Mus musculus: one gene and its partners. The main gene of each other region encodes a partner of the protein of the gene in region 2 in a complex. Links are inferred from orthologs where the notes say so. Each region holds a gene or a part of one and is shown on either strand. Other genes may lie near its edges.

What was found.
Region 1: Cc2d2a (region 2) and Tmem237 share a complex: the UniProt entries of both Homo sapiens proteins name them as parts of the tectonic-like complex. The link is inferred for Mus musculus from reciprocal best matches to the Homo sapiens genes CC2D2A and TMEM237.
Region 3: Cc2d2a (region 2) and B9d2 share a complex: the UniProt entries of both Homo sapiens proteins name them as parts of the tectonic-like complex. The link is inferred for Mus musculus from reciprocal best matches to the Homo sapiens genes CC2D2A and B9D2.
Region 4: Cc2d2a (region 2) and Tctn1 share a complex: the UniProt entries of both Homo sapiens proteins name them as parts of the tectonic-like complex. The link is inferred for Mus musculus from reciprocal best matches to the Homo sapiens genes CC2D2A and TCTN1.
Region 5: Cc2d2a (region 2) and Tmem231 share a complex: the UniProt entries of both Homo sapiens proteins name them as parts of the tectonic-like complex. The link is inferred for Mus musculus from reciprocal best matches to the Homo sapiens genes CC2D2A and TMEM231.
Region 6: Cc2d2a (region 2) and Tmem216 share a complex: the UniProt entries of both Homo sapiens proteins name them as parts of the tectonic-like complex. The link is inferred for Mus musculus from reciprocal best matches to the Homo sapiens genes CC2D2A and TMEM216.
Region 7: Cc2d2a (region 2) and Cep290 share a complex: the UniProt entries of both Homo sapiens proteins name them as parts of the tectonic-like complex. The link is inferred for Mus musculus from reciprocal best matches to the Homo sapiens genes CC2D2A and CEP290.

Annotation. Positions count from the first base shown.
Region 1 is NC_000067.6:59,106,119-59,110,067, reverse strand, and holds part of Tmem237 (transmembrane protein 237), read left to right. Parts: coding exon 1-80; intron 81-871; coding exon 872-1,029; intron 1,030-1,269; coding exon 1,270-1,393; intron 1,394-1,838; coding exon 1,839-2,030; intron 2,031-2,540; coding exon 2,541-2,614; intron 2,615-3,433; coding exon 3,434-3,524; intron 3,525-3,949. UniProt on the Homo sapiens protein: Component of the transition zone in primary cilia. Required for ciliogenesis.
Region 2 is NC_000071.6:43,660,803-43,665,521, reverse strand, and holds the start of Cc2d2a (coiled-coil and C2 domain-containing protein 2A), read right to left. Parts: upstream 3,144-4,719; 5' UTR 2,963-3,143; intron 147-2,962; exon of another isoform or gene 1-146. UniProt on the Homo sapiens protein: Component of the tectonic-like complex, a complex localized at the transition zone of primary cilia and acting as a barrier that prevents diffusion of transmembrane proteins between the cilia and plasma membranes.
Region 3 is NC_000073.6:25,683,727-25,687,458, reverse strand, and holds the end of B9d2 (B9 domain-containing protein 2), read right to left. Parts: intron 1,479-3,732; coding exon 1,165-1,478; 3' UTR 897-1,164; downstream 1-896. UniProt on the Homo sapiens protein: Component of the tectonic-like complex, a complex localized at the transition zone of primary cilia and acting as a barrier that prevents diffusion of transmembrane proteins between the cilia and plasma membranes.
Region 4 is NC_000071.6:122,247,184-122,251,132, forward strand, and holds part of Tctn1 (tectonic-1 precursor), read right to left. Parts: intron 3,285-3,949; coding exon 3,264-3,284; intron 1,801-3,263; coding exon 1,666-1,800; intron 863-1,665; coding exon 737-862; intron 435-736; coding exon 349-434; intron 1-348. UniProt on the Homo sapiens protein: Component of the tectonic-like complex, a complex localized at the transition zone of primary cilia and acting as a barrier that prevents diffusion of transmembrane proteins between the cilia and plasma membranes.
Region 5 is NC_000074.6:111,916,609-111,920,557, reverse strand, and holds part of Tmem231 (transmembrane protein 231), read left to right. Parts: intron 1-1,601; coding exon 1,602-1,730; intron 1,731-2,123; coding exon 2,124-2,267; intron 2,268-3,949. UniProt on the Homo sapiens protein: Transmembrane component of the tectonic-like complex, a complex localized at the transition zone of primary cilia and acting as a barrier that prevents diffusion of transmembrane proteins between the cilia and plasma membranes.
Region 6 is NC_000085.6:10,552,796-10,557,431, forward strand, and holds the start of Tmem216 (transmembrane protein 216), read right to left. Parts: upstream 2,969-4,636; 5' UTR 2,931-2,968; coding exon 2,918-2,930; exon of another isoform or gene 2,904-2,917; intron 2,370-2,903; coding exon 2,268-2,369; intron 1,827-2,267; coding exon 1,734-1,826; intron 1-1,733. UniProt on the Homo sapiens protein: Part of the tectonic-like complex which is required for tissue-specific ciliogenesis and may regulate ciliary membrane composition.
Region 7 is NC_000076.6:100,485,931-100,490,434, reverse strand, and holds the start of Cep290 (centrosomal protein of 290 kDa), read right to left. Parts: upstream 2,854-4,504; 5' UTR 2,683-2,853; intron 2,157-2,682; 5' UTR 2,129-2,156; coding exon 2,027-2,128; intron 1,874-2,026; coding exon 1,796-1,873; intron 1,116-1,795; coding exon 1,046-1,115; intron 289-1,045; coding exon 242-288; intron 1-241. UniProt on the Homo sapiens protein: Involved in early and late steps in cilia formation. Its association with CCP110 is required for inhibition of primary cilia formation by CCP110.

The DNA of each region.
Region 1 (3,949 bases), on a different chromosome or scaffold from region 2:
TCTCTACTACGGAACGAAAACGGCATTGATGCGGAGCCTCGTGAGGAGGCAGTGATTCCAAAACCGAGAAGGAAGGCAAAGTAATGGCCCCTTCATCCTCTGAGCTAAGTCCTTGGAGCCAGTGCTGGTGTCCAATCCCAAGTAGTGCTCCTCACTGGGTCTCAGAGACCACAATGTCTGTGTGTGTCAGGATAGGCAGGGTTACAGAAATGAACCAATGCTAGGAGGGGTTTGAAAAGAATAGAACACTGAAAAGAGAAGAAGAGAAAGGAAAAGAATAGTGTATGGAAATAGCCCAAGGACTCGTCTCTAAGAAAGTGTTAGCAAGGAGAATATTTTCATATAAGTTGCAAAACCTGAGATAAAGATTAATGTTTAAACATAAGCTACTGTGATTTGTTTCTTTATGTTAATGGATTTGAAATATTTTGAAATAACTTTAACCATTGTGTTTTAATATAGGAAAATAACTATATTATATAGTTACATACATTTTATATATATATATATATGTTGTAAATAATAACATATATCATATAAAATACAACAGCATACTTAAAAATATGCTGGAAGTTACATAACAGTAATGTTTGTACCTAAAAATGACTACAAAGAATAACCAATCACATTTAGTAGAATTTTATAACTGGAAGTCAGGAGAAATCCAGCCCGGTCAGTGCCCCTTCTCTCAGTGAGGAAACTGCAGTGCACAAGCGTGTGTGCAGCTAGTAACAAATCTAGTTGAGTAAACGGCATATTTCTTTCACTCCAAGTTCAGGACTCTTTCCATTATATTCGTGGGTAATTTCTTATGTGGCTCTTTAGAAATCCAAGAATGATCTATTGTTTCAACAATTTTCTCTGATTTCAGGAAAACCCAGCCAGCTGAGCCACAGTATGCTAGCGAGCTAGGGGTGGAAGATGAAGACATACTCACAGATGAGCAGAGCACTCTAGAACATCACTCTAGGTTCACGGCACCCACCGGAGTTAGCCAGCCTGTTGGCAAAGTATTTGTGGAAAAAAGCCGTAAGTAACTCCTTGTTTTGGAATACAATTGCTCTAAATATTGTATAGGGATATCTTTAACCTGGTGATGATAGTTCTGATGACCTGAGTGAAGGAAATAATAAAGTAATGTAGAGGAAAATTGACACACAAAACTAGTCATTATGCTATTGTTTTTTTTCCCAACTGGATTTTATTTGTTTTAAAATACATTTTTAAATAAATAAGTCCCATTAGTGACTGTGTTCTCTGTGCTCCCAGGGAGGTTTCAGGCGGCGGACCGTTCCGAGTTGATAAAGACCACAGAAAACATAGATGTGTCAATGGACGTGAAGCCATCTTGGACTACCCGAGATGTGGCACTTTCTGTGCACCGAGCTTTCAGGTGGCTGCCTTTTGTTGGTGTTCGTTAAGCAGATGTTAATTGGATATCATCATTTAAAACCAAAGAAAAAAGCCTTGGTTGTTCTGTACTTTGTAAACAGTTTGACAATTTAAAATGGTATGTAGATTTAGTTTTGTAGACATTCCACTTGTGCTTCTCATAATATGTTAAATTGTATTATATTTGAGGAGATTTTAAAAATACCTTAGCCTTTTATTTTAGTGGCTAATATATAATTAAACTTTTCTCCTTCTTATCTTTGAGTACTTTTCATAATTTATTTATTGACTTTACATACCAATCACAGCACCGCTTCCTCCTGTCCACCCCGTCCTGCCCATATGTCCCTCTCCTGATTACCTGCTCCCTCTCTCCTCAGAGAAGAGTAAGTTCCCACCCCACCCTGGGACCTCCATTCCCACAGTAATTAAACTCTTCTGTGCAGGATGGTCGGTCTGTTCTCTCATGGCTTCTTGGCTGGCTGTGCTGTGTGGAATACTGTTGTGATCTACGTTCTTGCAGGAGATCAGCTGTCTAATGTCTCCAACCTTCTGCAGCAGTACAAGCCCTTGGCTTATCCCTTCCAGAGCCTTCTTTACTTGCTTTTGGCTCTAAGTACAGTTTCAGCATTTGATAGGTAAGGCTGTTGTGAATGTGGGGCCTTCTAACCTTCCTTTAGGAAGAAATAGTGAGCAATATATGTCACTATGACTTTTCAAGGTAGAATGTTTGTTTTTTAAACCAGTCTTTGGATTAGCATGGCCTTATCTTCATTTCAAAGTATCCATAGAGATCTCATTTCCAAATAAAGTCACCTTCATAAGGACTAAGGTTAGACCATCACCACTTATTTTGGGAAACACATAGGTCAACCCATTTTAAAAAATATCAGCAGGACTGGGGAGATGGCTCCATGGGTAAAGATGCCTGCTCTCATGCCTGCTGTCCTCAGTTTGCTACTACCTAGGACCCATATTGTGGTAGGAGACAACCAACTCCTACCTCCACATGTGCACCAAAGCTCATAACTCAAGGTGTGTGTGTGTGTGTGTGTGTGTGGCGGTAGGTAGACTAGAGAAGGGAACACCACCGAGGGAAGTACATTGTGTTACAGCTGCACAGTGACAAAGCTTTCATCTCATTCTAGGACTGACTTTGCTAAAATATCAGTAGCAATCCGGAACTTTTTGGCCCTGGAACCAACAGCTTTAGCTTCTTTTCGTGAGTAATAGTTACTGTGATAACTATGTTATAATTGAGGAGCAATTCTGTCACTTTGAATCAAGAAAAATATTGTATAGAAGGTTTATATTATTTCTTCATATAAACCATTAGATCAATGAATTTGTAATTTAAAATGTGGTAGGAGTAATTTTTTTAGAACTATTCTTTTGTTTTTGTTTTTGAGGTAGGATCTGTTACATAGCTCAGGCTGGCCTTGAACTTTGTGTGTGGTTGAGAATAGCCTTGAACTTCTCATTCTGTTTGCTCTCCTTTAAATGCTGGGATTTGTAACCACCCAGTGCCGTGCCTGGCTTGCAAGTGTTTCTTATTTGAAGATCATCCAAATGACTTTCAGAAGTTGAATGTATATGTGAGATGCTGGGTTTAATGTTCTGCACCAAAAGTAATAAGTAATGTTAAATGTGTGGCCTTCATTACTTATTCAGCTTCTGTGTTTTCCACTTGGTAGACACAGCTGGCATGGCCTTTTAGTAATGAATACCATTTTATATATTTCTGGCATTCTACAGTACATTTTTTGTAGGTTACAAGATTCTATTAAAGCGAGTTTGAGGACCTTGAACAAGTAATTTAAATTCTTAAAATCCTTTTAGGCTCTTTCTTGCCAGTTCCAATGATAAAATTGTACTCACCTATTACACTCTGCACCGTATTATCTACATAATAAAAGCTGCCTAGTGGCATTAAATGTATTTCTTTTGTATAATCATTCACCAAAGTGTGGCTTATTTTGGTCTTAAAATTCAATATAAACAGCAGTCAAATTTATTAGTAATTTCACTTCTTCCCCCTCAGTGTATTTTACTGCTCTAATACTATCTCTGAGTCAGCAAATGACAAGTGACAGAATCCACCTTTACGAACCTTCTGTCAATGGAAGCCTCTGGTAAGAATCTACAGTAATATGCTAACAGCAGCAGTGGGGGAGGAGGAGGGCAATGATACCATTCCACATTTTCATCTGTAGATCATAACAAGGCTATGTTTCTGTTTATAATAAACCATGAGAAGAAAACACCTGTTCTGTTGGTTAATGGATAATGACCTTTTTATATTTTTACTTTTGTTTTTCTTGACATGTAGTTTCAAGTAGCCAAACCTCCTTATGTAGGTGAGGCTGGCTTTGAACTCCTGATCATACTGCCTGTCCCACCTAAGTGCTGTGATTACAGGCATGAGCACTGTACCCAGCTTATACCTGGATTGTTAAACTATCATCTTTTTAAAAATATGCAGCGGATTGGAGGTGCTCTATGCCTTTACCCCATGCAGAGAGCCTAATACCACAGAATGATGGTAGAGAGGGTGGCT
Region 2 (4,719 bases):
AGTTTTGAGAGAAATCAAATGACACCAAAATTGATCTCTCCTCTGAGCACTGCTGGCTCCAAAAAGATGAATAAACACCGCTCGCTCAGCTTTAATAAGCCCCTGTCGTCAGTGTTGGCCATGGCCACTTGTTAATACATTCTTTGACAGTGTCAAAATAAAAGCCCTGGGTGTGTGGAGCTGGAGCTTGGCAGTCTCCCTGTGCACTCGCTCTGCTCACCCTGATACACCAGCTCTCAGTAGGATGAGTGTCAATTTAGACCCAAGCAAACCAAGATTTCCGAAATCATGTGAGGCCACAGGTTTGAAATCTCCCTCTCAGAGTCTGACCTTTGTGCTTTGTGGTTCCAAAGTTCTCTCTCCATGGCCCCACTTTAATTTTGTTAAAACAAGATTACCATCACTAGTCTATACTGTCCTTGCTGTGAAAATACAATGGAAAACCACAAACACTATAGCAATGTCCTAATTATATAGGTGACACAAGGCCAATAATCTATTTTACACAGGGCAGATAACCAACTAATTTTAAAGGAAAGTATCTACACTGTTTTCTGACCACATGAACTGTCTCTAAAGTCAGCCATTAAGAGTCATATCCAAGAATCCAGGGATGAACCTCCAAGATACAGAGAAGGACTGAGAGGAAATGGCTATACTATATAAAGTACTTCTTAATTGAGACTGCTCCGAAAGGATGGTGTATTAATTATACAAAGAAATTATGGCTTTAAAGAGTGAGGTCTTTGGGAAAAAAAACATAGTCCTAGGTTCAAAATCCCCATTTTCTCACCAGTGTGTGATCTTGAAACAACACAGCCAATTCTATAAATTCATAATCAAATGTCCCACCTTAGGTGATCATCATTTCTTATGGGTAACCCATTCTTATGATGGACTCTGTACTGAAATGATTGTAATAAAGTGACTGTCACAGACCAGGCTCTCTGTGTTGGTAGGGTTTATGGTTTTATTATTATGGATGTTGCCAGAGTTTGGGTTAGAACAGTTGGCAACTCTAACAAGATAGGTTTGGCCACCAGTGCCCCAGTAGGGCAATGAAAGAGAAAAATAATGGACAAATCAGAGACAACATGATGACTTTGGGAAGTGGAACAGAGGTGCCCAGTAATGTCACAGTCAGTCTTCCAGGGTCCTGATATGAAATTTGGGTCTGAATAAAAGGTACCAGGAGGGATACATAGCTAAGCAATTTTGGTCAGTGTGGTCCTTTCCATCACTGACATGGCATTGTCTCTGTCCCTGTACCTTCTGCAAGGTGATTGACAAGCTGTCAGAACTGTCTTTTGGAGACAAGTCCTCCCTTGTGCTGGTACGAGCAGCCCATCTTTTCCTTCTCCCAGCGCTCAATACTGAGAAAATACAGCTCTGAGAGTCCATTGTTTTAATGGCTTAGAGTCCATTGTTTTAATGGTCCGATAGCTGAAGGAGATACACAAATGTGTCTTTAGAGTATCTTTTTACCAACCAGGATGGTCAGATGAAGAGGTCATGGTTGCGAGGGGAGGTGGGAGGAAGGGATGGAGAGGGGAAACAGAGGTTCAGAGATGGAAGAGAACCATAAGAAAACCTTAGGGTGTTGAGTGCTATCCCTTTACTCTCTTTAGTTTTTGTCACCCATCCCTGACAGCCATACACAAGTCTCTTCTCCCCTTCCTCCAGCCAGGACCAGGACACTTGTTTTCCCTCGTCTGTTTAAAATGTTGCTGGAACCTCCTCCCCTCCACGCATGCTCACTTTCTCTCTTCAGAGACGAGGCTTTTCCTTTCGAGTGGGAGGGCCCGCTCAAAGTTGTGAACTCTCAGGAGCCATCCTGTGCCTTTTTAATGATTAATTATGTAGCAGCAAGTTACTCTAGCCCCAGCTTCTAGGGTACCAGGTGAGTGACACAGCTGTGTGTGGTCATTTAATCAGATGGACGGGACACCTTTCACTTGATGAGGCCAGGTCAGCACCCAGGCTCTGCTCATGGGATTGCTCAGCTGCACAGGGGGTGCTGGAAGCACCTCTATGGCAGGAGTCCCGCTGTGGGCCAAGCTCTTTAGACCTTTTTACAAGTCTGTTTTGTCACTGATCTCATTATCTGTTTCTACATCTGCTTCCCCAGCAAAGTCTCACCACTGGACCTGGTCTAAGTTGGTTTTGTACACTGTAAACTTGAGTTCTTCATCTGCTGCATCATTGATGCTCACTAAAAACTTGAATAAATGACTCTGTAAGTGAACTCTAGGCCAACTATCTATATACAGATTGATCTATGTTTATATATGTGCATATCTCTCTATCTCTATGTATACATATATGCACATATTTTCTCTATCCATATACAGTTCCCCTCTATACAAAGCATGCTGTCGTTACACTTATTTGCAGAAATGTTATATAAAATGCAATAGCAGACATGTATTTCTCATTAGATTTTATTAGCATTTCATAGCACCTAGCATTTCATAGCACCTAAAATGAAAACAGCTGAGCTGATGGCCAGTAGACTTCTGAAAGCTTGGCAGACCTCAGCCCTGCGGTTCAGAGCTCTTTGTCCAATAACAAGAAAAGTGGAGCTCGCCACACGGAGAGTACTCCCTCCGGCCCGCCCTCCCCTTCCCCGGAGCAGTTTAAACTAAAGGCCCGAAAGCAACACGCAGCTAGTGCTTAGCAGCACACTGACCAGAGAGGCTCTCTGTGAACCGGTTTGCTTTTCCCCTGCAAGCCAGACAGCAGCTGAAATCAGAGCTGTCCCTGCAGTGCCCCCACTTTGCATTGAGAGAGTGAAACTGCAAGCAAGATGAAGGGTCTCTAATGTTAGCAAGATGAGAGTCCCTAACGTTACAAAGCATTCATTCCACTCTCACTGCACCAGGGAGGGGCTGGTTTCTCTGCCGGAACGGAAAGGAGAGGAAAGCAGGACACTGCAGCCTGTCTCTGTTAAAGACTGATTTACCTTCGTCCACTCTACAAAACGAAGTTTGCAGATTCCACTTGCTGGGCTGAAGGGATGAGATGAGAGACCAGTTGTGTCAAGCCAGAGAACCTTTTAGAAATGAGCGAAAGGGTGGGCTGGGGTAAGAGAGGTTACTCCCTGGGAAGCTGCAGCCATATCTCAGGGTTTAAAAAAAAACACCAGCTTAGCAACCAGTTCCCAGGGAAGGTCACTAGGCGGCCGCTTTTTTTTTTTAAAGTGGCAGTTTACTTTTAAGACTTGGAATATGAGCTTGCTGGGCAAGCAGTGGAAAAATAACGTGCTGAAGAGAGACAAAGGGAAAGCAACTGGGCAGCCTAGCAGAGAGGACTCAGGCTCTCAGCAGGGTGTCCTGCCTTATGTCTCTGGGTTGCATGGCCTGTTGGGTCAAGGACAGAAGGTGTTGATAAGTAGAGTGGTTTAGAATCAGGAGGGGCCATGTTGTGTGGAGCTGCCTAGTAAGCAGTAGCAAAGACTATGTGGCCGGGCATCAGAGCTATCAGAGCTCCAGCGTGTGTTGCATTAGGGATGTTGGCTGGCTGTGCACAGAAGCTGGACCGCACACGCCTAACCTCTGTTTCTTCAACTCTTCACTACAAATGACCCAGCGGCCCAGCAGGGATACAGACAAGATGGCTCAAAAAAAAAAAAAAAAAAAAAAAAAAAGGCAAGAAACCAGGAGAAAAGGCCAAGTAGTGAGAACAGTAGTAAGCAGACTCAGACTCTACAGGCCAAAGACAACCACAGATCAAGGAACTCCACAGACCGCGGCCTCCTAACCCCAAGTGTTGTTCCTCAGAAGCCTGCCATTTTGTTTCTTAGACAAGACCTCTGACTGGAAGCTGGCATTTGGTGATTAGGCTAGGCTGCCTGCCTAACTCCAGATCCCTGCTTGTCTTAGCTTGTCTGGTGCTGATAGAACAAACGTGGGCCACCATGCTGAGTGTTAGCCACCTTCAAAGCCAGGTCCTCATGCTTGTGTGATGAAAAGCCCTTTACTAATAGAACTATCTCCCAGCCCCTATTTTCTGTATCCCTAAAGCTCTGGCATTCACTGCATGGGTCTTAGATAGATCTCTGAAGCTAACTAATTCCTAGAGACAATAAATGACTCCAAGGAAATGCATATATTCTCTTTGATACGTACTAACTGACCCCAAGCTGGCATCTCCATCTACTGCAATCACCAAGAAGTACCCCTCTGCTCTAAGTCACTCTGGAGGCAGGTGCTTAGGGAGCATGTCTATGATCCAGAATATTCTGAAACAAGTCAAATTATTTAATTCTAAACCCACCAGCACACTTACCATGCCACAACCTTCCTTCCAGGGAAAACCCCAGTAAAGGGTCTCTTTTGGAGCCTGATGTTTGGAGAATGCTGTTTTTGGAGACTGCTGCTGATTGTGTTTGGTTGATTGGTCTGTCTTTGTATCCCCAGTGCTGGGAATATAGATGCCTGTAGCCACTTGGCTTTTTATGTGGGTGCTGGAGACCTGAGCTCAGTATTTATTCTGGGCCAGTATCTTATTGATTGAGTCATTTTTTTCCCAGCCCAAGAAACAAATTTATATCCATTGTGATATTCTGTTATAGAATTATAAGACATTTCCTGCTTTGAAGGATCTGTGTGAATAACCTTTCTACAAGACAGCCATGTCTGTGTCTTCATGTCTCACCGTACCAGAGAACCCAGAGTTCACTTTTTAACATATGTGTGTACAGTGTACACATGAGCCAAC
Region 3 (3,732 bases), on a different chromosome or scaffold from region 2:
TGTGGCTCCCGAGGGCTGGTCCGGAATAGGGGCGTCTGAGGAACGCCGGGTAGCGATCGAGTGTCCACGACGGTGAGCAGGGCTGTCTGGAGTCCTCAGGTCCTGCCTCCTTGCGAGACAGCGCAGTGCCAAGAAGTCCCCACGTCTCTGACTTGCAGTAGCAGCGGAAAAGTCTCAAAACTTTTTTCCTCTTCTCTCAACCAGCTCGTCCCTCCTCCCACTCCTCCTCCCCCTCCTCCCTGCGGCGGCGGCTGGTCTCAGACTCTGGGGCCTCGGACGGCTCCTCGGCTGCTCCTTTGCCGGCTCCCAGCGGAGGCCGACTCCGAGTGCGGCTCAGAGCCGGGGGTGCCCCGAAGGGGCGTCCCCCCTGCCCCGGCCGGGGGCCTGGCTGTCTGGAGGATCCGCGGCGGGAGGAGGAGGGGGACGGCCTGGGGCGCGAAGGGCGGCGGCGGCGGCGGGACCGGCTGGGGCGGCGGGGGTTTTGAAGCCGCCCCGGCCCCACCCAGGAAGCGCGCGCGGGGCGGGGGCAGCCCCAGGGGGAGGGCATGGGGGGGCACTGTCTTCATCTTAGCGTGGGCGGGCTCCAAGGGGGGTCCCTTCAGCCCTGCGGGGAGGGGGCGGGCACCCCGGCCTCGCCCCACCTCCAGGGTGCTGCCTCCTGGCGGCGGAGCACTACTAAAGCCGGTGACCAACCAAAGCGCCCCGGTGGATTTGGGAGTTGTTGAAGGGTCAAAGGAAAAATTGGGACTTCGTGAGAAAACAGAGTCCTGTATTAGAAGTGGGGACCTAGGCGGTGGAGAGCGAAAGGCAGGGGCAGACTTTGCGGATGAGAGTGTCAAGGAGAGTGAAATAAGGAGACCGACGTCTGAGAGCTTTAGCGGATACAAGGAGGCACCTTACCCATGAGAAATACACGCTTTTATTAAGTGCCCCCGACAGTCCAAACAGTGGGCCCTGCTCATGTCCCTCCAACCCACAGCCCTTTCTACCCCGTAGTTCAGTGGAGCATGGGCCACAGGGGAGTTCCTGGCCTTGCAGTCCATGGCATAGGGGCCATGACTTGGGGGTGATCAGGACTGACAGTCTCCAGAGTCCACGTGCCTGCTTCACTGCTGTGCCATTATGTGCTCAGTGGATGATGGCGATTAGTAGCAATGAAGTCCCTCAACACTCCACTCCATAGCGATCGAAGTGGCGCAGCAGCAGGCCGATACCAAGGTGCACTGTGCCACCCGCGGCCGTGTGCAGGCGGTAGCGGTCAGCCCCGCTGTAGATGGTATCTGCGTGCAGCAGCTGTGGCCCACCACCCACGAAAGCCCGTGCTAGCTGCTCCCTCCAACTGCCCAGGGGCCTCCATGTAGGGCAGTCCAGCTGATGAGTGCCTGGGCTGCTAGGCACATGGCAAAAGCCATAGCCAGCAAGCTGGCAGCGGCCAAAGCTGTCCTGGGACCACACCTGGAGATGGAGTCGAGGCCAACCTGCGGGAGGAGAGGCGTTAGAGAAAAGGACAAAGGGGCAGAACCCTGCTCCCGGGTTCCCAGCATTGAAACCACTGGAGACCTCGCACAGTACTTTTACCTTGGATTATTGCCTGAATTTCCTCTCTGGGTTCTCATCTCCCACTCACTCCACATAGTAGTCACAGGAATCTAGAGCAATCCACATTACCCTCTTGCTCAAAACCCTCCCATGACTCCCCTGGGCCACAGAACAAAGTCCAACCTCTCAAGTCAAGTCTGGCCTCGTCTGACCTCCCTTTGTGGTCTCTTCACTCTCCCAGGCCCCCAGGTCAGCACCTCAGCTTAGACCCCTTCCGCCCTCCTCCTCATGGACTTGCTTTGCTCTCACGCACCTGACTCAGATTTCCTTTCTTCCCCAGTGGAGCCATCTCTCCCCTTCGTTAGGTTTCTAGTGGCCTCAATGCACAGCTGAGTGTCCCAGCCTGACAGTCCAATGCTTGGAGATGCAGCCCAGCCCCCCCCCCCCCCAACCCTAAGCCCTCCCCTGGCAGGCCCTGTTCTCCAGGCTGGGGACACAGCAATGAACACAGCAGACAAAAATTCCTGCCCCGTGAAGCTGACATCCTAGACAACCAACATAGTAAATAAGTAAATTATAGGGTATGTCATATGGTGATAACCGCTCTGGGGAAAAACAACAGCCAGAAAGGGAGGGGTGGAGATGTAGTTTGGAAAATTGGGGAGCAGCTGAAGGAAGCTTTCCTAAAGAAGGTGACATTTGGGGCTGAACACTGCAGTGTACAGCTGGAATGCCAGCACTTGGGAGGTAGAGGCAAGAGGATCCCCAGAAGTTCAAGGCTAGCCTGGGCTACACAATGAGTTCTAGGACAACCAGGGCTACATATCTGAAGGGTGACATTTTGGCACACACTTGGGCTGCTGAGGCCCCAGGCTAGGCTGGACTATGTTCTGAGACTCTATCTCAAAAAGCAAACAAGCCAACCAGGATGCAACATAAATGCTTAAAGAAGTGGGCTCTCTAGGCACCTAGGGGAATGACAGATCCAGTCAGTGCAAAAGTTCCGAAGTAGGAGCTAGCCTGGTGGGGCCAATGAGGCTAGAACGGGGAGTCGTGGGGAACAAAGGACAGAGGTGACAGCCAGATTCCATAGGCCTGTGACGCCAGAGAAGGCTCCGGCTTTTCTCTTGAGCGATAGGAGGCCTGCAGGCAGGTTCCATACAGAGGAAGAACATGCTGTATTTAGGTCCTCCCAGGGTCCAGTCCAGTATCCAACCCTGAGAGCACAGTGAAGACAGAAAGAAAGAATGGTCCCAGAAGGCTGGGCGTGGTGGCACACGCCTTTTATCCCAGCACTTGGGAGGCAGAGGCAGGCAGATTTCTGAGTTTGAGGCCAGCCTGGTCTATAGAGTGAGTTCCAGGACAGCCAGGGCTATACAGAGAAACCCTGTCTTGAAAAACAAAACAAAACAAAACAAAACAAAAAACAAAAAATGGTCCCGGAAAGAGAAGATGGACAGAGAAGGCTGGGTGGGATGGGGTGAGAAACAAAAGTGGGTTTCAGAGCCGCCAGGGTTTGTTGGTGAGCTGAGAGACTAAGAAGGAAGCAAACAGGGAGGAAGACAGCTAAGGCCAGGACTGAGGAAAACTTCCAACGTATCACCCTCACAAACTAGTACAATTGTTCAGAAGGAGAATCTGATCCATCCATTTCTTCTTGGGCTCCCCAGAGCCTTCGAGAATCAGTCTTAGTGCCTTTGCAGGCGAGGCCTTACATTCTGTCCCTGCCGCCTCATCCCCCACTGTCCTTCTCACCCACAGACAGCGAATACCCAGGACACACCTCCCCATTTCTACCTGGCTCCAGCTCTCTGACTCCACCCTCTGTCTTTGTCCTTGGGCCTAGTTAGCTTCTCTTGGCCCTTTACAGCAGAACTCTAACTGCTCTGCCCTATAAGGCCATGGGACCAATCAGAGATGACTTCTGTGTTTCCAGGGCCTCTGTGCTGGCCACATTTGGAAACAGGTCTATCTTCTACCTATAATGGAACCCTTGATGACAGGGCTTGGAGGGTCCTTCTTAGTTGGGGATGTCCCTGCTCAAGCTGGACAGACGTAGGCTCAGTCAACAGTCCTCATTCCCAGAATCTGCTGTGTTTTAACCAGAAAAGCTGCACTGACATGATACCCTCCTCCTCCCTCGAAGACTCACTTCCCCTTTGAGCAGAACCTCTGCCTGTGTGAGCAACGGCA
Region 4 (3,949 bases), about 79 Mb from region 2:
CTGAAGCAACGTCAAAGTGTGACCTTTGGTTACTTGACTCAGGAGGCAAGGCAAAAGGATCTGTGTCAGTTTGAGGCCAGGCTGGTCTATATTGTGAGCTCAGTACATAGCAAGAGAGACTTTCTCAAAAACACAAAACCAAAAGTGAACAAATGAATCAAAGAGTCAAACCCTTCTACATCTAGCTGTCCTTTTAAATGCACTGCCACCTTCCCCCCAAGCACCAGGCTCTCCTTAAACATTCCAGTGGCCTGGAGTGGCCAGTCAGGTATCTCTTTCCCATAGGCTACCACAGCCCACCCATGCAGACAGGAAGGTGACTTTCTCTGCGGACCTCCAAAAGGATACCCCTTCTGAGGCTGAAAGCCAGCAGCCAGCGGGAGTCCCACCCTGTAACCAGGGTTGCCGCTGAGAGGAACAGGCTTGGTGCCATGCTGAAAGACAAGGTGATGCCCCGGGCTACAGTATTTAGGTACAAGCGGGGGCAACCCAGTGCTTCTCACTGTAACATCTGGAAGAACAGCTCCCTCTGTTCTCAAGTATAAATAGATCCCGGAGAGTGGGAGGACAGCACTCGGTGAGCCTGCCAGGCACGGGACAGCACCCGGCTTCCAGGCAAACCCCACAGCTCCTGCAGCGCAGCCTGGGAGCTGGGTCATGCTTCTAGACTGACGGTGCTGCCCCCAAAAGCCAGGCTTTTCTCCATCTGCCATCCACGCAGATCTCTCAGACTCACCTGAATAAAGTGAATCTCAAACTTCTGCTGCAGGAGACTCACAGCGCTGCTCAGTGTCCCCAGAACGAGGGAGAGGCCGGCTTCGTGGATCTGGCCTGTGGCTGTGTACAGCAGACTGTACTTCACCTGAGATGGAATGGGGCTCAGCAGCCATGTTACCAACTCTAAAGAGGCAGCCACAGAAAAGTCACGCCCCCAAGCCTGCTGTCTAATCACATTACTCATGTCCCCTTAACATCCCAGTGGTCACCTTGGCCTCTGTGTACTCAGGTTTTTGACATTTTAGATTCAGCTGGCTCAAACACAATAGGAACAGTCTATTTCTGCAGAAGAAATGAGTCCAATCAAGTAAACAGTGGTGACAATAAATTGTTATGTGTGCTACATATACGTGAGTGTGTATGCGTGTCCATGCGTGCACATACAGAGGTCAGAGAATGACACTGGGTGTCTTCTTCTGTAACTCTCTGCCTTGTTGCCTTGAGACGCAGTCTCACACTGAACCACAAGCTCTCTATTTCAGTGAGGCTGGCTGACCAGTGCACTCCTGGGATCTGCCGATCTCTGTTCCCCAATGCTGGGGTTATAGCCAGGGGTAGTAGCCATGCTTGGCTTTTACGTGGGTGCTGGGGGTTTGAACTCAGGTCCTCATGCTTGTGGAACAAACATTCTTACTCTACTGAACCATCTTTCTAGCCACTGACGAAAACATTTTGATGTATTCTTACAACGTGTCAGGTTTATGGAGACCTGTAAAGACATGTCCTCTGACGACAGGGCAGAGCAGCAGAAGCAACTGGAGGTCAGACCAAGAAGGGTATCAGCATGGTATGGAGCACAGTGCCCTCTGGACGGTGTGCCGTTCCCTGTGCCCCACAGGCTGGAGTCAGGCAGTCGGACAGGACTGCAGAGGCACACTGGATGCCTACCTGGAGAACAACGTTGCTGCAGAGTCTGTCTTGCCCAGTGCTGACCAGAGATGGCCGCAGGACACCATGGCCTTCTAACTGCGTCAGTGTGTGATTCAGAGACCGATACATTACAGACTGGATCTTGATGGAGACCTGAGAGGGAGAGTATCCTTGGGTATGAGGCTACCGCATGTGACATAAAGCACGGGTGACAGTACCCAGAGCCTAAAATGAATACTTAGTGACAGCAAATGCAAAGCAGGGGACACACACACTGCCACACGCTGTGCATGCTGTAAACTCACTCTTGCAAGAGGACAGGTATTTACACACACACACACACACACACACACACACACACACACACACACACACACACACTATGCTTAACACCAAAAGACAGAGTCCATGCTCCTACACACTCAGTCCTAGGTTCACAGCCAGAAGCCCAGCTTCCCAGAGCAAACCACTGCCTCAGGAGATGCAGCCTGCCTTCCAGGCAGCACACACACAGTGGCTGGCGAGGCAGCAGGGTCCAGGAAGGACAAAGTCAGACAAACTTTCTAAATGATATCAGGGAGCCTGGATGGGGACCAGCTCCAGAAGAGTGACTAAGCAACAAGGACCCCTGAGGATGCCAGGATGCTTCTGACGAGGACTCTCCAGGTGACATTTGGGAAGACGCCCAAAGCACCTGCTCACCAAGCTGTCTTCAACTTATGCTGAACTGTTTATAATTTAAGCTGGCAAGTGTGGAAGCCATCACCTTAGAAATAAACATGCAGCCTTTCCACGCTGCTCCTATGACCAAGGCAAACCTGCAACTGCCCTCCCAGGTCACAGTCACTCTCTCAGGGAGACAGCATGGGGACATGGGTGACAGGAAAAGGCAATCTAGTCTGCACAACTCTCTATGCCACCAAGGAACCTCAACAGCTTGAGCCAAGTGGGGAACCCTGTGACTTAACTAGCTCTTGTTAACATCAAAAGGCCACTGGAAAGCTGGGCGTGGTGGCGCATGCCTTTAATCCCAGCACCCGGGAGGCAGAGGCAGGCAGATTTCTGAGTTCGAGGCTAGCCTGGTCTACAAAGTGAGTTCCAGGACAGCCAGGGCTATACAGAGAAACCCTGTCTCGAAAAACCAAAAAAAAAAAAAAAAAAAAAAAAAAAAAAAAAGCCACTGGATCTAAACAGCACGAGGACAGGGCCAGTCTGAAACAGTAGAAACAAGGCACTTTCTAGAGGCTGTGTCACAGAAAGGCCTGACACGTCTTCCATTTTATTTTGAGAACAGAATCTCACTGTGTTACCCTGGCTGGCCTGGGACTCTCTATGTAGACCACCCTGGCCTTGAGCTCACAGAGATCTGCCTGCCTCTGACTTCCAATTGATGGGAGTAAAGCCATGTGCTTCTATGCCAGGGTAAAAATTATCCTTAAAACAATCAGATAACTCGAAGAATGTGATACCTGTGTTTGACCTCTGGCCAATGACTTATGTACACTCGTGTACACATCCTTCCTAGCCCATCCCCAACAAACCACACACCCACACACACTCACCACGGAGAGAGACAGACAGACAGACAGACAGGCAGGCAGGCTTTATGCTTTTACCTGTGTCATTGAATTAGGTACCTAGACAGAAAGAAAGCACAGCTAAGTTAGGCACAACAAGCAGATGAGTCTCTACAGCCTTCCCAGACTTCAGCGAAGGCCACGCTCACCATCGAGACACCACCACCATGACAGCAGATTCTGCACTCAGGACCACTCTTGCATCTCTGTGGTAACCACCACACTTCCCTCTGTTGTCTCATCCTCCCTCAGCAGCAGCACTCCCGAGGCTTGCCTGCTCTGCTGTCACTATCCCACACTGCCTCTCAGCCCTAACACTGGGGAGAGAGTCACTGCTTGGTCCCTTGCTGCACCTGTCTTCACGGCAGGGTCACATCCCTGGCACAGAAGGTATCCAGGGCCTGACTCTGGTCTCCCAGGCCGAGCCTCAGCCTGATGCTAACATCACATGGCTGTCCTTCCCATCTCATGGCTCCATACCCTCTCAGGCCAGGGGTCCTGACAGAAAAGGCACGCTTGGGGAAGTCTGTACTAAGAGAGAGCTACACCTTGTCACATTTGAGGACAATTTGAGAATTCAAACTTACTAGAACTCAGGCCTGGAGGACCAACTTAGAAAACAGGAGGGACTAAGGAGGGTAAAGGACTCTGAATATGGCAGCCCAGGTGCCTCACCCTCCCACAACACTAATAAGAACTTAGAAACCAGGAGGGGCCTTGGACAT
Region 5 (3,949 bases), on a different chromosome or scaffold from region 2:
TCACATTTCAGTTCCGTCCCTCCTGCTGACCACTGTCAGGTCACTGTGTCACAGCTGAGACTGTGGGGACCACCTACTGATCTACTTTTAACCGCCCACATACGATTTATGGGCTGTGACTTTTCTTATGCCCTTCTCTGATTTTTGTCAAATATTTGTGGTCTTGGTATCTTGTTGATCTTAGTTTCCTTTTTGTATTTTATTGATTGATGCTTCGACACGAGTAATGAGACAGATAGTCCAACCAACCAACCTTAAGTATCTGAAGCAAAGTCACTCGAGATTTAGGATGTGCAAATAGGGGCTACACATAACGGCTCAGTGGTTAAGAGCACTGGCTGATCTTGCTTCTGCAGAGGACCTGAGTGTAGTTTCCAGCACCCACATGATAGCTCACAGCCATCTGCAACAACACTTTCAGGGCCTCTTCCAGAACCCTTCTGACCTCTGTGTATAGCAGGCATGCATTCAGTGCACAGACATATGTGCATGCAAACATTTATACACATAAAAATAAATCTTAACAAAATGTATAAATAGAGCTTGGTGGATTGAATAGCACTTGCTTGGTAAACACATGATGATTAGAGTTAGACTTTGGGGGGTTTTTTCTATTTTTTTTTTTTTTAAGGTTTACTTATTTATTTTGTGTGCGTGCTCCATCTGCATGTACACCTGTGTGCCAGAAGAGGGCATCAGATCCCATCACAGATGGTAGTGAGCCACCTTGTGGTTGCTGGGAATTGAACTCTGGGACCTCTTAATGGCCGAGCCAGCTCTCCAGCCCTGCTCTTTCCATTTGGACAGACTGACTTGGAGATGGAGCTAGCACACAGTGGTCAGCTCTAGTCTAGTGTGTAAGAGACCCTAGCCAATCCCTAGCTCCCTAAACAAAGAACAACAGGAATAAGAGCAAGGAGGGAGAGGAAAAAGAAACTCCTCTCTAGGGGCTGGAGACAGGGCTCAAATCTGTCCTTACAGAGGACCCAAAGTTTTCACCTTCCTCAGGCAGCTCATAGTCACCTATACCTTGAGCCCCAGGGCATCTAACAGCGTCTTCTGGCTTGCATAGTCCCCACCCACCCACCCACCCACCCACACATATAACTAAAATAAATAACTGATTTTGTTTGGTTTTTTTGGGGGGGTTGTATGTAGGTGTTTGGTTTTGTTTGTTTGTTTTTATTTATTTCATGTATGTGAGTACAATGTAGCTCTCTTCAGACACACCAGAAGAGGGCATCGGATCCCATTACAGATGGTTGTGAGCCACCATGTGGTTGCTGGGAATTGGACTCAGGACCTCCAGAAGAGCAGTCAGTGGTCTTAACCACTGAGACGTCTCTCTAGCCCTTCTTTTTCTTTTTCTTTTCTTTCTTTCTTTTTGTTGTTGTTGTTTGTTTGTTGGTTGGTTGGTTGGTTGGTTTTTGGTTTTCCAAGACAGGGTTTCTCTGTATAGCACTGGCTCACTTTGTAGACCAGGCTGGCCTTGAACTCAGATCTGCTTGTCTCTGCCTCCCAAATGCTGGGATTAAAGATGTGTGTGCCACCACTGTCCAGCTATAACAATTCTCTAAGAAAGTAAATCTCTTCTTTTGTAGTCCAGAGAAGAAGACCGGAACCAGGATGGAAAAATGGATGTGCTGTACTTTAAACTTGAACTTCCCCTGCAACCCACAGAGCATGTCCTCGGTGTGCAGCTAATCCTGACCTTCTCCTACCAACTGCACGTGAGTCTGTCCTCACATATATGTCTGCATGTCAGAAGAGGGCACCAGATCTCATTATAGATGGATGTGAGCCACCATGTGGTTGCTGGGAATTGAACTCAGGACCTCTGCAAGAGCAGTCAGTGCTCTTAACCTCTGAGTCATCTCTCCTTCTCCTCCTCCTTCTCCCTAGGGAGAGCCACACTGCAGATGGCTCTTCTATGGAAAGTGACTAGGAACTTAACATAGACAAATTGAGTATTCAAAGTAATAGGCCTTTCTGGGCAGAAAGTTCCTGAGTGGGCTAACACACTCATGCCGGGCCTATCATCTTCAGCTGCTGACAAGTGAGTTGTGGACCCCCAGGCTCTTCAGACCTGACAATGTCATCATCTCTCTCCCTAATGATTTTAGAGGATGTCAACATTCGAGATGCAGAGCATGGCCTTTCTCCAGTCCTCCTTTGCTGTCCCTGGGTCACAGTTATATGTGAATGGCGACCTGAGGCTGCAACAGAAGCAGCCACTGAGCTACCGTGGCCTGGACATCAGATACAACGTAAGGATGCCCTTGTAGTCCAGCACCTTCAGGCCTAGGCTTATCACAGCCTTCAAAGGACAAGAAATTTAAGCTTAGAAATATAGCATTTAGTTCTTCTTATGTGTACGAGTGTTCTGCCTGAATGGATGTTGGGCACCATAAATGTGCAGTGCTGGACCCAAGCCCACGTCCTTAGAAGAGTAGTCAGTGCTCTAAACCACTAAACCATCTCTCCAGCCCCATCATGAATTTTCTTTCTTTCTTTCTTCCTTCCTTCCTTTCTTCCTTCCTTTCTTTCTTTCTTTCTTTCTTTCTTTCTTTCTTTCTTTCTTTCTTTTTATAAAGATTTATTTATTATATACACAGCATATATAGTTCTGCATATATATCTGCATGTCAGAAGAGGGCACCAGATCTCATTATAGATGGATGTGAGCTATCATGTGGTTGCTGGGAATTGAACTCAGGACCTCTGCAAGAGCAGTCAGTGCTCTTAACCTTTGAGTGATCTCTCCAGCCCAAATTCTTAATGTAGGAAGGGAGTTGGAGGGCTGGCTCAATGGTTGAGAGCACTAGCTGTTCTTCCAGAGGACCCAGGTCTGATTTCCAGCATTGAGGTAGCAGCCTACAACTGCTTGTAGTTCCACTTCCAATGGCTCCATCATCCTCTTCTGGCCTCCTCAGGCACTGTGCACAGATGGTGCACAGAAACACATATAGACAAAACACACATACACATAAAAAATAATAATTTTTTTTTTTTTTTTTTTTTTTTGGTTTTTCGAGACAGGGTTTCTCTGTATAGCCCTGGCTGTCCTGGAACTCACTCTGTAGACCAGGCTGGCCTCGAACTCAGAAATCCGCCTGCCTCTGCCTCCCGAGTGCTGGGATTAAAGGCGTGCGCCACCACGCCCGGCGATAAAAATAATAATTTTTTAAAGGTTTATTTATTTATTTTATGTATATGAGTACACTGTAGTTGTCTTCAGACACCCCAGAAGAGGGCGTAGTTGCTGAGAATTGAACTCAGGGCCTTTGGAAGAGCAGTCCATGATTTTAACAACTGAACCATCAATCTAGCCCCTAATTTTTTTTGTAGAAGTAAAAAAGGCACACCTTGGTTTATACCCGGAGAGAGAGGGGAAGCATTCTTACTAAAGAACCAAACTGTCTATTGCTTTCAGGTACACACATTCCAAATGTATTCTGTGTTAATTTTTGTCGCTGTTTGTTTGTCTTGTTTTGTTTCTTTAAAACTGTAGCCCTGGCTGTCCAGGAACTTGCCCTGTAGACCAGGCTGGCCTCAGACTCAGGCAGGGATACACCTGCCCTGTTGGGATTAAAGGCATTCATCATCACCAGGCCAACTTCTGCTAGTTTATTGCTTGCTGTGACCATTCCTGACAGAATAACCTGAAAGGGGAAAGATCTATTTTGCTCACAGTTTCCTCCCTGTGGGAGGGAGGGGAATAAAGAGCTCCTCATGCTGTGTCCTGAAGGAAGGAGAGTGAAGCAGCTTGGGACCAGAGCAAGATGCAGCCTGGAAGGACAGGTTCCCGTGCCTTGCTTCCTCCAACCAGATCCCACCTTCCACAGCTTCACACCCCCTTAGCATCCCCCCAACCATCCAATATCTGCTCACATTTTGAACCCATCAGTGGGTCAAACCACTGATCAGCTCTGAGCCCTCCCTTCCTAAA
Region 6 (4,636 bases), on a different chromosome or scaffold from region 2:
GAGACCCTGTCTCAAAAAAGAAAAAGACAAAAAAAGTAACAGAGCCAGTCATGGAACACACACCTAGAATCCCAGCACGCATAAGGTCAGAATTGAGAGTTCAAGATCATCCTGTTCTCCTTGCTTCAAAAAACCAAAACCAAATTGTGTATGTGTGTGTGTCTGTGTGTATACATATATCCATGTGTATACACATAGTAATTTATATGTGTATATGTAAAATATGTATAGCTATAATATGCATGTGTGTATGCAAATGTGTATATACATTAAAACTTCAATTAATATGTACAATAATTTAAGTGCATTAAAAATATCTGTTCTTAGACGGGCGTGGTGTCACACGTCTTTAATCCCAGCACTTGGGAGGCAGAGGCAGGCGGATTTCTGAGTTCGAGGCCATCCTGGTGTACAGAGTGAGTTCCAGGACAGCCAGGGCAACACAGAGAAACCCTGTCTCGAAAAAACAAAAAAACAAAAACAAAATATCTGTTCTTTAGGGCTACAGAGATGGATCATGGGTGGTTAAGAGCACTTGCTGACCTTCCTGAGGGCCCAGGTTCACCCACATGGCAGCTTAACAGTCTGTAACTGTAGTTCCAGAAGATCTGATGCCCTTTTCTTCTTCTTTTTAACTTTTAATTCTCACTTGGGTGTTTGTGTGTGCCTACAAAGGCCAGAAGACAACATTGGATCCCCGAAGCTGGAGTTTCAGGCAGTTGTGAGTTACCTGATGTGGATGCTCGGAACTAAACTGGGGTCCTCTTGCAAAAGCAGGAGGTTTAAAAGTCCTTTTAGACCTCTGAGCCATCTCTAGCCTAAGACCTTCTTCTGACCTCTGTGGGCACCAGACATACATGTAGTATACAGGCATACATACAGGCAAAATATCCATCGGCATAAAATAATGACTTTTAATTAAAAAATATGTATATCACAAGCCAAATATGGATACTGTACTGTATAAATCTTTCTGACTAATGCCAATATATAAAAAAAAATTTTTTTACCTTATTTTTCTTGCTTTTCTTTACTAGGTTTGAGCACATTGGCAAGTGTTGTTATTGTTTTGGTGTTTTGTTTTATTTTTTTAGCTAGGATCTATTTAAGATCTATTTAACTACGCATCCCTGTCTGCACTGGAATTCATTATGTCTAATTGAATGCATAGCCATCCCCTTGTCTCTGCCAGAGGGTACTGGGATTAAAGGCATGTGCCACCATGCTCACCTTAGCAAGGTTTTTGGTCCTCTATAATGACTTTTGTGAATTGACTGTTAGTATCCCTTACCATTCTCTCCCTTAGGTTTGTATTTTCGCACTAGGATGATATATTCTAAGTAATCAGCAGTTTTGCTCTGTTCTCTGGTGTCTAGGAACTTCTAGAGAAATCCTTGTTTAGAGAAGCGGAGGGGATCTTGAGCTCTTTAGGAATGTACTGCTTTCCTCTCTCAGAGCAAGGAGAAGACGCAGGCACTCTTGTGGCACTCAGGCAGCTGGGAGGACTGGTCTAAGATCAGTGCTACTGCCCGCTTCTAGCCTCACTCACAAACACACAGGTAAACCTTGACCTAGAATATGAAGCGGCAGCTTGAAGCCTCAGGGAAGAAGCAATGGTATATACATTACCAGATCCACTCTGATAGTGAGCCTAGGTTCTTTGTCTTGTTAATCAAGTTACAGGCTCCAGCATGTCTCATAAGCAATGGAAATATTTTCTGAACAACACTCACCGAAAAACAATCGTATGACTTCAATGCCAAGATAGAGCAGCAGCATCACCACATCCAGGACTAAGTTGGCTGTTGGGTACGGCAACAGGAGCCCTACAGGAGGGAAAGCCAGAGTATGCACACACCACCTAGCTAACGGTCAGCCCCACGGCCCCACAAGGATGGACGGCCACAAACCCGGGACAAGGATACCAACCAGTCTTAACATCTCACAAATCAGCAAGGTATAGATTGTTACAGCTACAGGCTTTAAGTTTCCAAGTCCTGACTCTGCCAAATGACTGAATTATAATGGTACACAGATCTGAATATTTTAGTAAAGAGAGATGGGGAAAGAGTTGGGATGGAGAAACCCACATTTCTCAAACTCAAGTCTTGCTGAAAGACATCCTATTTGATCATTCTAAAGCCATTAGTTGGAGAGACTTCTGCCTTGCAATGGAGATGCCGCTAGGACCAGAAGATAGAAGGTTCTTGGAGTATGCTAAAGTGGAAAAGGGTTGCTGGGGCAGAGGCAGATAGGCCCAGGCTTACCTTTGTACAGGAAAATAAGGAGCTCCAGCAGGAAATAGGTAGCATAGTACCACCCATTCAGAAAGAACAGGACTTCCAGGGGGGTTGAGGACAATCTTTTATCTGAAAGAAAGCAAAACAAAGAATGGGCAGGGCAGCTAGAGCTCTACTCTGTTCTGTGTGAAGGTTCTTTGTAATCCGGAGAAATCACAAGATTATTGTGAATGAGGGAGAAACTTCTGATTGCTAATGACGTGAGTGTTGGTGTGGCAGGAACTGCCTTCAATCTCCTTTCTCAGGAATCACTTTGACATCTACTTCTCTGACAATTCAGCTATAATCACAGCTGAGAGGCACCTCAAATATTCAACCCTGTCACTTCTGAGGGGGAAATTGAGGCACAGAAACTAATTCTGTCCAAGGCGGGAGGATTCATAACTGAGCCATCCCAGAATAGGGCCAGCCGGGGATTTTTAAGAGTACGGTATTCGAGTACCCATGCAGGCACTCGGGGTGATCAGAACAACCCAAGCCCGATTTAGACAAGTGAAGAGTAAGACCCCGACTTTTAGAAATGGAGGATTAGGTCGAGCTCTGGAGACAGAGAGGTGGAGGGGGCTGGCAGGTACCCGTGGGATAAGGGGCAGAGACACACACCTCCAGAGTCTCACCTCGCGGCGCCATGTTCAGTCCCCATGGAAACTGCGTACACTGCAGCGCCCGGAGCAATGCGGCGCTGCCGGAAGCGCGGCACCGAGCCGCCCGGTCTTCTGGCCGCTCTGCCTGCCGGTGCTACTCTATGGTTACCCCACCGGCCGCGCCCATGCACAGAACAGCGCCAGCCGTCAACCACCTACAGTGGTCTAGGGGGAGGATGGGGTTTTAAACGACGGCAGAGAGACCAGAACACTTCTCCAGCTGAACTCTCTCCATCCCCGGCGTCATGGCGTAGGTCGTTAGTGGCCCGGTGTGGCCGAGTAGTTGGAGGATCGGCCCTGCGCCCACCATTCTCTTTTCTACTGCATGTGTTTTTTTTAAAAACACCCCATGCCACTGTCGTGCAAAAGGCTTACCTGGAGCCTATGTAAACACCAAAACCGTTGAAGATAGAATGTCCTTTCTAGGAGTACAAGGGAAAACAGCGGTGCTATAATGAGATTCTCCTGCGACCCAAAGAGTGCAAGGGTGTTGAAAGGAGACAGCGTCTGGCCAGTTGGAAATTGAGAAATGTTTCCAACAAGCTTGCGCTATGAACGAACCCTGGCCGCAATTTGAAGCAAGAGCGTGTTGTTGCAGGCAGGGGGTGAAAGAGTAAGATTTCTGAAAAGACTCCAGCTGTCAGCCCTTAGAGTATGGCAGTCAGTCAACAAATAACGGGAGAGAGTAAGTAACCTGTAATGAAAGTGCTATTTCCCTACCTAGTAGGAGTGTGGATAAAGGCAGTAATTGTTGCTTCTCAAAGCAGGTCCTCACTCCGGGAGAATAATTTAAGTAGAAGCCTCCCTCCATCACTCCCCACCTCCACCTCTGCTCTCCTTCCTCCTTCACTTCTGCTTGTGCCTTCCACTGCCTTATTCAGGTCTGGTTTAGTTTGGCTAGACAGGTCTCCTATGTAGGCTAGGCAGGCCTCAAATTCTCCTGCCTCTGCTTCCCGTCCAGTACAGGGGTTTCAAGTGGGTGTCACAATGTTCTGGCAGGTCTTAAATGGAATTCTAAGTTCCCACTAAAGGACCACGGCAAGGTGAGGTGATGGAGAAAGCCCTGGTCCCTGCACCCCATCTGAACTACCTTCATACACACCCCTGCTCTGAGTCTCAGAGGAAAGGAGGGTGGACCAGTTGCTTGTTTTTGTAAATTATGGGTCTTAAATCACTCTGCCTAAACATTTTGATATTGTATACACATATAGTTCTCATGCTACAGTGAAAAGTTTACCCATTGTCAACAGAGATGATATAATCTATAGCCTTAATATCACCTGGTTGGTTAAGAAAATGATGCTGTTTCATGTCAGGATGCCACAACAGCATAGGTACCAAAAGTGGACACAGACTAAGTCAGTAACCTGCAGGAACCTTAGAATATGCAGCTGGGTCTCCTGCCCTCTGGGGTCTAACCCAAAGCTTGGGGCTGCTAAGCAAACACTCCCCACTGGGCTTTATCTATAGCCGTGCTCTTACACACTTTTCTTTAGTAAGCCACAAATAAAACTCAGCCCCAGGCTGGAGAGACGGCTCAGTGGTTAAGAGCACTGACTGCTCTTCCTGAGGTCCTGAGTTCAATTCCCAGAAACCACATGGTGGCTCACAACTATCTGTGATAGGATCTGATGGCCTCTTCTGGTGTGTCTGAAGACAGCTACAGTGTACTCACATACATAAATAAATAAA
Region 7 (4,504 bases), on a different chromosome or scaffold from region 2:
CTTTCTATATGCTTCTCCAGACTGACAGCCCCATTCAGAAGGGATCCGTTTTTACTTCACTGGATGCATAATTCTTAGAACTCAAGTCACAAAAGCACATTCTGTGTAATGAATAAACGCATGAGCACAAAATCTTGTATTTTCCAATCTGGGAGGATTTGAAAACAATTTAAAATAATGCAATTAATAACAACTACAAGAAAATTCAAAAACAAGGAAATATAAAAGGATATATATATACCTCCAGTTCATTTTCCAGTTTCATTACTTTTGTCTTTAATTGATTTTCTATTTAAAAAAAAACACAAATGTTTTAATTGGTTAAGTTTCCTATAATCAGATTTTAAGTAAACTTTAATAAAATAGTACTGTTCTCTGTAAAAGATTCCATCCTTAACAGATACAGGAAAGTAATTATTATATACTAAATGCATAAAATATGCATTCTAGAAATGCCTCATGTAGAGAGCAGAGGAAGGCTTCAGTGCATGAGCCCTGAGTCAGTGTGTACTACTGACATGGGCAAAGCCACGTCAGGAACTCCAAATGTCTCAGGCCTATGGCAAACGGCAAAGCCTTCCCTCCTCGTCTGACTGTGGATGTTGACAGGGTGTGCAGAAAATGTCCCCCTAATGTTTATGGCTCCCTTATAGAGACTACTCCTACTGAGATTTGATAAATCTGCCTCCCTATTCAACAGCAGAAACCCTGCCTTCATGTTTATCTGTATGCACTCACTCGACTTTATGTTCAGCTATGCAACAACTCCACTGCTCTGGTCAAGTGGATATAATACAGACAGTGAGCTTCTGGGGTGGGGCAGTTGCTCCATTAGAGAGCCTGGTCCAACCGAAAACAACTGTTCTAAGTGTCTGTGTGTTTTCTTTTCTTCACCCCCTACCACAGCACTCAGGCCAGTACCTGGAACTGCACAAGGATGTAGCATCTTTCAGTATAAATTGAATACATATGTTATAGAATAGGATAGATTTTATACTGTCTAATAAGTAATGGAACCACAGTAGTTTTTTCCCAAGACATTTACCAAATTTTGCTTGTTCTTCTCCAGCCTTTTCAACTTCTTCCAAAGCGAGCTCTACTTCCTGGGCTTTCATCTGAACATTAAAACGAGAGGGGAAGAATCTGTATTATTTACACTGTAATGTAAACAGTGGGAATGGAAACTGTGTGGAATTTGCTATCTCAGTCTGTAGTGTGTACGATGACTAACACACAGAGACAGTCAGTAAATAGTTGTTGAATAAATACATAAGGCTAGAAATTCCAGAATGGCAAGACTTTGAATTATATCTGATTTTTCCGTTAAACTTTATAGCCATTACTTAAAATGTTTTCAATATCTTTTTTACTATCCCAATTGTTATTATTAATAAATTTAGTAATTCCTTCTTATAATTGGAACTAATCAGCTCTCATCCCTTCAGTCTATACAACACATTTAATGTTGCCTTCATAAGTACATTTCTTTACCAAGTATGATTTAAAAACCTTTATTCCCTTCTAAAATGCTGATAACCAAAATATACTCTCAAACTCTTGAACAGTATATCCCAAATTACTGGCCCCAAATATTTTTCTATATGCTTTTACCTTAATGTAAAGAATACATATTCTTTCTCAGTATTTATTTATGAAGAATCTAGAATCCTCTTATCATTTCATGTATAGCTTATAGGGGAGAGATTTTGTATTTTATTTGACCATATGATTCTTTATGACTCTTTATGTTTCTCCTAAAAAATATTTCTTTTCCTACACACTCTTTCCTACAAACCTTCATTAGAGACTGGGTAATTCTGAATAGATGTATCATGTTTTCTTGGTCTTCATTTTTTAGTTCATTTACTTCCACCTAAGGAAACAAACACACAAAAAATGGACTATTTCATACCCTGCACATTAAATACAAGCACTCTTCCAGTTATAGCATTCAATGATTTCAAGAAGCAATTTCAATTCATGACATTGTACATCAGGCTCTGTGTACAAATCATTTATTAAGTACCTTGGATAAAGATATCAATAATTTATCTGCTAACTCTTCTTGCCGTGGCAGGTCATCTGGATCAACTTTGATTAATTCTTTCCACTTTATATTAGGTGGCATCTTGAATTCTTTCACTGTCTCTCAGCCTCTACAAAGAAGCAGGTGGATTTTAGCATTTTCAAGGAAAATGGCCTTGCAGTGTTTACATGATCATGAGCGGTCTTACTTAACTCTCTAGGTGCTGGCTAAGAGCTATGGCTCCTGAACTGCAAAACAGATGCAGAGGCAAACAGCCTCGACGAAAATTAGTTCCCCTGACACAGGCTATACGATAATGTACACGCTAAATTATTATTTTCTTGCTAAGACGAATTCGGAGCTAAAACCCCGAGGCCCCTTTTCCAAGTCCCCTACCATCAATGATGGTACCAACTCCCAAGATGTTTGGAAGTTTTTGAAAACCTTCTGAGGAAAGGGGACCAGAGGATTTTTAAAGTAGATAAAAAGACTGAGCTAAATGAAGTGTTTGCGGAATCAAGCTCAATCAGGGAGGCCGAGACGACACTGCAGACAAGAGCGACAGAGGTCTGGATAGGTAGGGCTGCACCCTGTCCCTCGGGATTACGATCCTGTGAACGACACTAAGCGGCTCCGGCTCACGAGGATCCACCCACCGAAACCAAGACCTGCCACCAGCAGCAGTCACTCATCTACAGCGACCACCTCCGGGTTCGGCCACCGCCCCGGCCTCACGCTTCCCAGAGCGGTCCTCGCGCACTCAGGCTGCTCCCGCCAACTCTTCCCGACCGAGCCGAAGCGGCGCCGGCTGCTAGGCGACACCACTCCCCGCCCCCCAGCCTGCCAAGACCGGAACTAGGCCCCGGGATACCTGGGAAGACTACATTTCACGACCCTGGAAAAAGCTTTACGGCTCTATTTCCCCTCCAAGCCCTCCTTACTGTGGATGAGGGAGAGCCGTGAGATGAGGACTCTACGTCCCAGAGTGCAGTTCGGCGTCGCGGCTGTGCATCCTGGGATTGGAAGTTTTTGGGAAGAGCGGCGCGTTCCCGGCGTGCAATGCGGGAGTCTGCGGCCGCCCTGGAAGAGCTGGGGGAAGGCTCGGGAGGCGGGAGGAGCGGCTGCTAAGGTGCGGCCGCCCCGGAGTCCGAGCGTGGCAGGCTATGACTGTGTTTTCTGCGGAGTCCTTCTCCGGTCCACCATCCCAGAAGCTTTCCTGAACCGTCTCCTGGCGGAGCCGCCCTCAGGTGAGGTCGGGGCGTGTCAACCCACAGCCAGGAGTAGCTCAGGGAACCTTTGCGTTTTTAGGGAAGCGCTAGCTTGGGGCTGCCGAAGGGCTGGCGGATCTTGCAGAGGTTTGGGAAAGAGTCCTCCGGCTACTCAGGTAGGTGCGAGGGGCTCCCAGTTAGTGGCTTCCCTAAGAGGGGAGTCAATAAAAGTTTCCAGCCTCCTTGGTGTCTGGGAAAGTGGAGCGCCCCCACCCCCACCGCACCCCCTGAGTTCACGCTCTGGTTGAGTGAAGAAGGAGCGTCAAGATGGGGCAGCCTCCTGCAGCAGCTTGCGGATTGTAGTGCTTATTAGGTTAATAAGAGTGGAGTGAAGGCCAAGGAAAGAGGAGCCTTAGTGCGCCCAAGGCTCTTAAGCCGGGCTGGAGGGAGGGAGGAGGGCCATGCCAAGCGATGGCATTTTGCTGTCATTTGCTGGGTACCAAGGGAGTTCTTGGGGGAAAGTGCCTTCTCCTTCTCAGATGTTAATCTTCTTACTCAGGGAACTGTTGCCAAATGCACAGCTATTCTACACCAGCAGGTAACTTTAGGAGCTGTAAGCATCTATTTGAAAGAGTGCGTCTCGTATATATGTATGAATGTATGTATGTATGTATACGTGGATAGATATATAAGGTACTTATACATATCATACATAATAGATATTAAGTAATTAAAAGAAAAATGTAGACAGTTACATTTTTCTTTTGAAAAGATTTCTGCGGTTGAGAAAAACAAATAGCACAAAAAAATGGTATTTGAAACAAATTTTAAAGACGTTCTTCAGATTTGTAGGCCTGATTGCAGTGTTTGCTTTATTTCTAAATACTGTTTAGTTTTGGAATTATTCTTTGTGGAGATACAGCAGTATTATCCGCATTGTCCATCTAAGAGATTGAAGCTCGGAGAGGTTAAACGCTGTTTTCTTATTTAATGTGATGAACACAATCATTCATTCTACAAGCTAATGTTTGTGAAATGCGTGATATAGTTGCACTTCCCAGTTTCTCTTTTAAACGTTAATACTAAGCTTTACTTGTGTTTTGCACATTTAATTTTATGGCTTCATTTACTCAAGAGTTTGAATTATTTTTCCTGTTCATTTTGTCAGTAGTACTAAGAAATGAGACTAGTATTTATTAAACACATGTAATATGTTCACTAGTATACTACCTTAAGAATTTGCTGTTTTTAATCACAATACCTTGATTTT